Linked DNA regions of Mus musculus: region 2 is reported to be linked to region 1. Evidence: microRNA targets listed by miRTarBase, many of them from high-throughput screens and not tested one by one. Region 1 holds a microRNA gene; the other region holds the end of a gene's coding sequence.

The links. Region 1 holds the annotated microRNA mmu-miR-1264-5p (AGGUCCUCAAUAAGUAUUUGUU, at 1,973-1,994, opposite strand). A microRNA usually pairs through its seed, bases 2 to 8, with sites in the 3' UTR of a target mRNA and lowers its output. Matches are read on the target gene's strand: a 7mer-m8 pairs with bases 2 to 8, a 7mer-A1 pairs with bases 2 to 7 and ends in A, and an 8mer does both.
Region 2: the mRNA of Gdf3 is a reported target of mmu-miR-1264-5p. Seed matches in the 3' UTR shown: 7mer-A1 at 3,349-3,355.

What each region holds. Positions count from the first base shown.
Region 1 is chrX:147,008,205-147,012,607 of GRCm38, reverse strand. It overlaps Mir1264 (microRNA 1264), which reads right to left and starts at 2,007; the gene lies at 1,922-2,007. The region is part of intron 2 of Htr2c (5-hydroxytryptamine (serotonin) receptor 2C); the gene reads right to left. Mir1912 (microRNA 1912) reads right to left here and starts at 3,167; the gene lies at 3,081-3,167.
Region 2 is chr6:122,602,642-122,607,044 of GRCm38, forward strand. Gdf3 (growth differentiation factor 3) reads right to left here. Exons shown (of 2, transcript NM_008108.5): 2 at 2,762-4,403. The coding sequence ends at 3,665. It also overlaps a transcript of Apobec1 not described here. Among named protein-coding and RNA genes, the nearest start is that of Apobec1, 2.4 kb to the left of the region's middle.

The DNA of each region.
Region 1 (4,403 bases):
AAAGTCATATAATACTCTTATGAAGATAGGGTAGAGTAGTAATATGAATATTTAAAAATTGAATGACATAAAAGCAATTTGAATTTTTTTAGTATTCAATATTCAGAACTCACATTTATCTTCTTCTGGTGATTTTCTTCCATGATTTTCTTTTCTTTTTGAAATTATAATAAAGTTGCATCATTTCTCCCTTAGCTTTTCTCCTTTCATACCTCCCTATATATCCTTTCTTCATCTCTTCACATTCATATATATATATATATGTGTGTGTGTGTGTGTGTGTGTGTGTGTGTGTGTGTGTGTGTGTGTGTGTGTATAAACTGTTCCTGCTCCATTTGTAACATGTTACTGATAGACCATGCGTAATACGGGAAACTTAGCCAAGTCTTAGCCAGTGAAGTCATGAATCTTGGCGGATAACCTACAACAATCAGTTTAGTAAGTCAGTATAGTCTCTAATTAAATTCTAAACATTTGTCCTTATGTGCACAGATAAGTGCAGTCCTCACCCTTCATCAAATAAACTTCTTACAACACATGAAGATCATTACAAAAAAATTCAGCCAATCAAACTGCAGAGTTATGGATTGCAGTCCCAGTGGATCCACCTAGTTTGTTTTTAAGAGTCACAGTGCATTTAAATAAGTCCATATTTCTAAAACAGATGATTACTAAATCATTCATCAAACATTTTATCTATATGGATTACCACTCAAGCCCATGTATGTATAAGTAATTGAATACAGAACAGTGAATAACATCTGCATAATTTTTGTACATAGAATGAAAATGAAAGGAAAAAGCGAGGAGAAATTAAAGGAGGAAAATGAAGAGAAGGGCAGGTATATCTAGTTCCTGTCTCATAAATGAGACTGTTGTGGAGCCAGATATTGTGGTGCATACCTTTAAGCAGGAGGACCAGAATTTCTGGGTCATCTTCTGCTTCATAGTCAGTTTAAGACCAGACTAGGCTATTGGGTATCTTGTTACAAACAATCTCAATCAACCAACCAAACCAACAGCAAAACTCTCAGTAGAAAAATCAACAAATAAATAGAAAAAGAGATTGAGGGCATCCTTCATGAAAATTGATAACAATACTAGTTTATATTCAAAGTGGTCTTTACATCATTCATAAAGTAGACTAACCAATTTGTTTTTCCTAATGTATACCTCTAGTCCGATAAAATCAACAATAACAGCTATACCTTACAAAGATGTCATAGGAGCAATTCAAATGTAAAACATTTTATTCCTTGATCTTCTCAGGAAAGGTGTTCGGTTAAAATACATTATCTATTGTCCTATCTCCAGTGGAATTTTAAAATTAGAAACAACAAATGCTATTTTCATATTCAAATTACTTTCAAGTAACTGGCTAGAAATTAAACCTGAAAAGTAGTAAAATGATGGACAAGGTACTTAAAAACATTCTGGATACGATTTACTATAAATAATGGATAAAAACCTTTTGGATAAGTTTTATTATAAATGATAGATAATACATGTAAGTAAAAAAGAACTAAGAGGCACAAAGCCTTTAAGGAACTCACATTATTTCATACTATGTTAATGTAATATGCTGAAGACATTAAGAAAAATGGTTATGAAAAGGTTTTATGGTGATCCAGGAAGTTCTATTTTAATTTATTGACCCTTGTAAGATTACTGATTTAGTATTCCTTTTTATAAATACTTAAATTTCTACAAGAAATGCTTTTGCTCCCATACTTCATATAAGTCCCAGGTTCAAGTCTCTAAATTCTTTGATAATGGGACATGAACTGCGCATCTGTGATCTTTTTAAAAGATGTATTTGATATTATTACAGTTTCAAAAATGATAGTCATTTGTACATTTACCTTATATTCATTCTCTCCCATATAAGATCACAAGCTCTGTTTGGTTTGTAGTTTTTTATCCTCCACATAACAGGTGCTCAAATAAGATTTGTTGCTTCATTTATTTTTTCAACAAATACTTATTGAGGACCTGCTATATGCCAGGCATGAAGAAATATAACGTGTTCTATGTATCCTGACATTGTCTTTAAAAAGTTCGACCATATTTTTCAATATGACATAGAAGTTTCAATATTTCTAAAAAGTAATTACTAAATCATTTTCTTTATAAACCTCCTTTTATCTCTACTTTGTTCTTAGTTGTATCTAAATATAGAGCTGTTGTGTTTCTGACCTATAATGTGTTTTATTCTGGCTCTTCAATTAGACTTTTTAATACATATTTAGTTTGGCTTTGCTTCCTTACATAAACAAGGAGATGCCAAAACAAGAACAAGTACGTTTTAATTATAAGTATTAAATGTGCAAGGATTGCTATGCTTTCAAATCAAGCTAAATCATTCTACTACTCTAGAAAAGTCTTCTATTTAAAATGAATGACATATATCTATTCAGAATATTTTCAATAATAAGTTTCAAATGTAAGAATGAGGTGAGCATCAGGTGACATATTTATTAATATCCCATTAATAATGTAAAACATCTGCATCTAATGTGTCATCAATGTAATTTTTGACACATGGTCATAATATATTTGAAACAAAAGTTTTATGTTGTTGAATCAATGGGATATTTGAGGAAATTGTCTTTCTTTTACTTTGATGCATGTGAATGCTTTGCCTGCGTATATAAGTGCACCACATGCATGCAGTGCCCAAGGAGGCCATCAGAGGGTGTTAGATTCACTGAAGGTGGAGTTAAAAAACACTTGTAAACCAAATTTTGGGTGCTGGGAATTGAACCTTGGTCCTCTGCCAGAGCAACAAGTACTCCTAACTGCTAAGCCATTTCTCTAGCATCTGAATTATTGTTTATAATTCTACTAAAAAGCTAACTTTGACTCTGTGTGAAATTTTAACAATCTATGTAAAGAAGAATATCAAGTAACAAATAAAAATAGAATCAATATGGAAGTTCAAGTAGTGTGTTTTTGAATCTAGGTTGTGGTGTTTGGAGACAGGATTAGTAAAAACCTTTAAATGGATGGTTAGTTAATTAATCTGTACCAAATACAAAGTTATCCTATAAGAATTCGTGGTTTATTCTTCTGGATGTCTTCCAATCTCTATCAAGTTCTCACTGCATGTTCTGTGTATTAAATAAAAATCTACACAGCCCATGCAATGAGCACATCCTAGAGACTAATATGCTTGTGATATGTAGTTCAATAGTTGTTAAGGGGTCATCAGCTTGTTAAGTTAAAAAATATTAAGTATATTTGAAATATTAGTTGGCAAAGTGGAAAACTTAACCAAAGAATTATGGAATATTGGAAATTGAAGAACCAATAGATTAGCAATCTGTCACCCTCTACCATTGCACTACATACTCTTTCAAACCATATAAAGAAAACAAATAGCTACCACAAATAAAGGTTGATATTTGAGAACCTCCTGAGATAACATAAAAATTTATAAACTCAAATAGAAAAGGTCATTGTTCACTACATCCAAACTAAATTCCCTACTCTGGTTAGTGATCCTGTAGATAGATGGTTTTATGAGAAAAAAAAATATTGGACATAGGAAGAAGGAAAACCTGGATTACATGTTATATTTCTCTGAATTTGTACAAATTAGTTCAATCTCTGGGTCTCAGTTTATACCTATTAAACAGGGACATCAGTAACTAAATTTGCTATTTTTTTTTCAAAAGATAAAAGACTTTAATAGGTCAAAGATCTCTGTCAATTATAAAAAGTTAAGTAAAACTGGTTCTTGGTCTTACCTGAATCAACGTATTTTCCTCATAGGTCTTGTTTTTTAATATTTTTTGTGCTGTTTTTTTTTCCTGAAATGTTCCCAACAACTTTTATGTTATTTTTCAGTTCCATGACCCTGAATTAAATGTTAGACTTTATGGAGTAGCTATGTGATGACTAATTACCTATTTTTTTTTTTAATGAACAAGTTTCTTGCAATGCAGTTGTCTGGAAACAACTAAAGTCCTGGCTACAATCAAATTTAGAATAAATAGGCAGGACAGGGAGAGAGTTAATAAGGAAGTGAACAAATGCACAAGATAATTGCAGAAGAATAATGCTGTAAAAATACAACAGAGCCAAGTAAAATAAGAGACAGAGTTTAAATAGTGAGGGTTGCTGGTGTATGTATCATGGGAGATTAATGAAACAGTCACACATAACCTGGGACTTAAAGAATGAGGAGCATCTAGGCAACTGAAATAATACTGTTACAAAGAGAACATCAAGAGCATGTGACTTCAAACTGGGTGTGAATTACTATGGCTGGGGAAAGGAAAATGCCTGAGGTCCTATCGCTGAGCCCTAAATACTGCACAGTTGTAAATATGGAATGGTGTGCTAAGACAAGTAAACAAATCTTCACTGATGGTTTGGTGGAGTTGTTTTTTGAATCTTAT
Region 2 (4,403 bases), not on the chromosome of region 1:
TTTTCCAGATATAAAACACAGAGCAACATTCAAACTAAATGAAACCACAGACACAGACTGACAGACATGGGCAATCCAGCATGCCCAGAACCAGAAGCAAATGTTCCCTCAGTGGAAACCAGTGAAAAGCGGGCCGTCTCCTGTCCTCCTCTGACCCTCGGAGCAGTGCTGCGTCCACTTTCTCCTTTCTTGGGTCCTAGAGAGGCTCCACCAGAAAGCAGAATACAGGCTCACCTCCGGGAGTCCAGATGACTGAAAAACAGTCCGAGGTGCTGCTAATTCAGCTTAAGGGCTCAAGTAGGTTAGCGTTTGGTATCCAAATGTTAGGGTGTAAAAATCTAAAAATAAATAAATAAATAAGTCTGCCAAGTTATCCCACAAATTAGGATCTAGGGATAGAAGTCTTCCCTAGGAACTTGTCTTTGTGGTACATTCATCCTGTTCCTACTGTTTGGTTTATTCGACTGTGGTGGGAGACTTGCCTAGCAATCATGTCTCAACTTGCCAGACAGGATGTCAGTTCAACACTGAGGTCTTGGGAACTTAAACTTATTTGACCTCTGTTCAAAATGAAAGTTTTATTCAAAATGGCTTCAGTCTGGTCCCTTCTCTTTCTTTCTTTCTTTCTTTCTTTCTTTCTTTCTTTCTTTCTTTCTTTCTTTCTTTCTTTCTTTCTTTCTTCCTTCCTTCCTTCCTTCCTTTCTTTTTTTCTTCCTTCCTTCCTTCCTTCCTTTCTTTTTTTCTTTCTTTCTCCCCCCCCACCCCGCCAGACAGGGTTTCTCTGTAGCCCTGGCTGTCCTGGAACTCACTCTATAGACCAGGCTGGCTCAAACTCAGAAATCCACCTGCCTCTGCCTCCTGAGTGCTGGGATTAAAGGTGTGGGCCACCACACCAATATCCTTTCAACAAGGTTTTTACTATTTTTCTCTTCTTTTCTTCTTTTTTTCTCCTACTTTTTGAGACAAGATTTCTTTATGTGGCTCTGGCTGTCTATAACTCTCTATATAGACCACGCTAGCCTCAACTCAGAGTTCCACCTGCCTCTGCCTCCTGAGTGCTGGGATTAAAGGTGTGGGCCACCCCACCAATATCCTTTCAACAAGGTTTTTACTATTTTTCTCTCCTCTTCTTTTCTTTTCTTTTCTTCTTCTTTTCTCCTACTTTTTGAGACAAGATTTCTTTATGTGGCTCTGGCTGTCTATAACTCTCTATATAGACCACGCTAGCCTCAACTCAGAGTTCCACCTACCTCTGTCTCCCAAGTGCTGGGATTACAGATGTATAAAAAGAATGATTTTTGAACTAGGCGATAGTGGTGCACGCCTTTAATCCCAGCACATGGGAGGCAGAAGCAGGCGGATCTCTGAGTTCAAGACCAGCATAGCCTACTGAGAGAATTCCAGGATGGCCAGGACTACACAGAAACCCTGTCTCACATAAACAAAAAGTCCAGATGTGTGTGTGTGTGTGTGTGTGTGTGTGTGTGTGTGTGTGTACAGAAGAGAGTGTAGGACCCCTCAGAACCAAAGTGAGAGGTGTTTGCAGAACACCAGGCTTGTTACATAGTTGCTGGGTTCTGAACTCCAGTGCACAAAATTTAGCCACAGTCACCTCTTACCTGCTGAGCCTTCTCTCCAGCCTCCCTTTTAATAACTTTTATAGAAAGGTCCTGCTTTGCTTTACTATTGCTGTGTCAAACAAACAAACACAGCCTGGAGAAGAAAGGACTTCTTTCATCTTACACCCCAGAGAACAATTCATCACTGAGAGAAGTCAGAGCAGAAACTTAAAAGAGGAACAGGAAGCAGAAACTGAAGGGGAGAGACCATGGAGAAATGCTGAATACTGGCTTTTCCCTCATGGTTTGCTCAACCTGCTTTTCTTTCTTCTTTTCTTCCTTATTTTATTTATTTATTTATTTTATTTTTAGGTGTGTGTGTGTGTGTGTGTGTGAGATTTACTGGCACTAGAGTACATGGGAGCTGGGAACTGAACTCTGGTTTTCTGCAAGAGCAGCGCATGCTCTTAACTACTGAGCCATCTCTCTAGCCTCTCAGCTTTCTTCTTATACACCCCAGGTCCACCTGCTCAGGGGTAGCACTGCCCAGAGTGGGCTGGGCCCTCTCACATCAATCAACCATCAATAAGATGTCCTCAGACATAACCCGAATGCCGGTCTGATCAAGGCAATTCCCCATTGAGTCTCCCTGAGATAATAACTCTGGGCTGTGCCAAGCTGTCAGCTCTAGCTAATTAGAAGAAGAAAGAATTGGGCTGGAAAGACAGCTCAGTGGTTAAGAGCAATGGCTGCTCTCCCAGGGTCAGGTTCCAGCATCCACCTGGCAGCTCACAACTGTCTATAACTCCTGTTCCAAGGGATTTGACACCCTGTACAGACATATATACAGTCAAAACACCAATGCACATAAAATAGAATTATTTCTATATATAATTTTATAATACATATATTTATATATATAAATTATTTTTTAAAAAATAGGGGGCTGGAGAGATGGCTCAGAGGTTAAAAGCACTGACTGCTCTTCCAGAGGTCCTTAGTTCAATTCCCAGCAACCACATGGTAGGTTACAACCATCTATAATGGGATCTGATGCCCTCTTCTGGTGTGTCTGAAGACAGCTACAGTGTACTTATATACAAAAAATAAATAAATAATTCCTTTAAAAAAAGGATAGGAAAGTATCAAACACGTGTACACATAATCCAATATCTATTCAAACACCTTAACAAAATCTTGCTGTAATAATTCAGTTGAAGTAAATTTATTAAGAAAACCCCAGGAAGCCAGACGGTGGTGGCGCACACCTTTAATCCCAGCACTTGGGAGGCAGAGGCAGGCAGATTTCTGAGTTCGAGGCCAGCCTGGTCTACGGAGTGAGTTCCAGGACTGCCAGGATTACACAGAAAAAAGAACTGGCTCAGCAGTAAGAGCGCTGCCTGCTCTTGTGCAGGACCCACTTGAGCATCCACATGGAGGAGACGCATGATCACCTGTAACTTCAGGGGATCTGACTCCCTCTTCTGGCCGCCACGGGTTCCTGCATGTACACCGTGCACTTACACAAGCACCCACACATAAAACAAACAAGTGAACATTTTTAAAGCTCACGTAAATTTTTCTATGTTATATTTTCTCAAAATAATTTTAAAATCTTAAGATATACAATTGGATATAATATGGTACAGGGCAGGCCTTTAATTCTAGGATTCAGGAAGCAGAGGCAGTTTGATCTCTTGTGCGTTTGAGGTTAGCCTGGTCTACATAGTTATAGGACAGCCTGGTATAGAGACCATGTTTCCTGTTTCAAAAAAAAAAATTTTTTTTTTGGTCCTGGTGGCACACAGCTGTAATCCCAGCACACAGGAGGTAGAGGAAAGAGAATTGCCATGAGTTCAAGGCCAGCAAAGATGTATAATAAGACCTTGTTTCAAACAAGAACAAGAAGCCCAGCTACTATGCATAATGAGCACAAATTAAGTAAGCTCACCAAGGGGTCCATAGTCATACACAAATGTGTGTAATTGTGGGGCTCATGAACCATGATGACAGACATGTCCGATTCAAGAGAGCATAAGCCAAAGGTGGGGTGGTAGTTTTATTAAAGGATTTACCCTAAGCACACTCCTAGCCTAGTCCCGAGACTACCCACACCCACACTCATCGACTACCATGTCTTCATAATGTCGGAGAATGACGTTCTTATCACTATCCTGATAGAGCATGGAGATGGGCGAGAGCTTGGTGGGGACACAGACAGCCTTGGGGACCTTGGGGTCAGCCATATGCATCAGAGCCTGCATGAAAGCATAATTGGAACTATTTAAATACGTGGTCATTGAGAAGGGGCACTCTCCATGACAGTAATTTGCCATGAACCCCTTAGGGGCGATGACCCACTTGTGCCAACCCAGGTCCTGGAAGTTGATGAACAGCTGATGACGGTGGCAGAAGTTCCTACAGAAACCCTTGGGGACAGAGATGGCCGCCCTCCTTTTTCTGGAAGAAGGATGACAGTGTTTAGGATTGAGGGTTACCACCAGCAGCGAGGCATGGAGAGAGCGGAGCAGCCGGTCACAGGGGTTCTCGGGCTGGACAGTTACCCTGGAGTATCTGTCCTCTTTGACCAGAATCTCTAAGTGTAAGTCCAAGTTCTTCAGTCGGTTGCTGCTCCAATCCTTAAGCGCACCCTGCAGGTTGAACTGGAGCTGACCTTGAGGCCCAGGGACAGACCGCAGAAAAAGCAATCTGCCCACCTTAGGGTGGGATCGCCCCCACACGCCCCGGTCCTGAACCACAGACAGAGCAACCACCAGCTCTGGTCGCAGGTTATAGTAGGACCTGGGCCCCAAGTCTAGAGTCAGCTGGGCCATGGTCAACTTT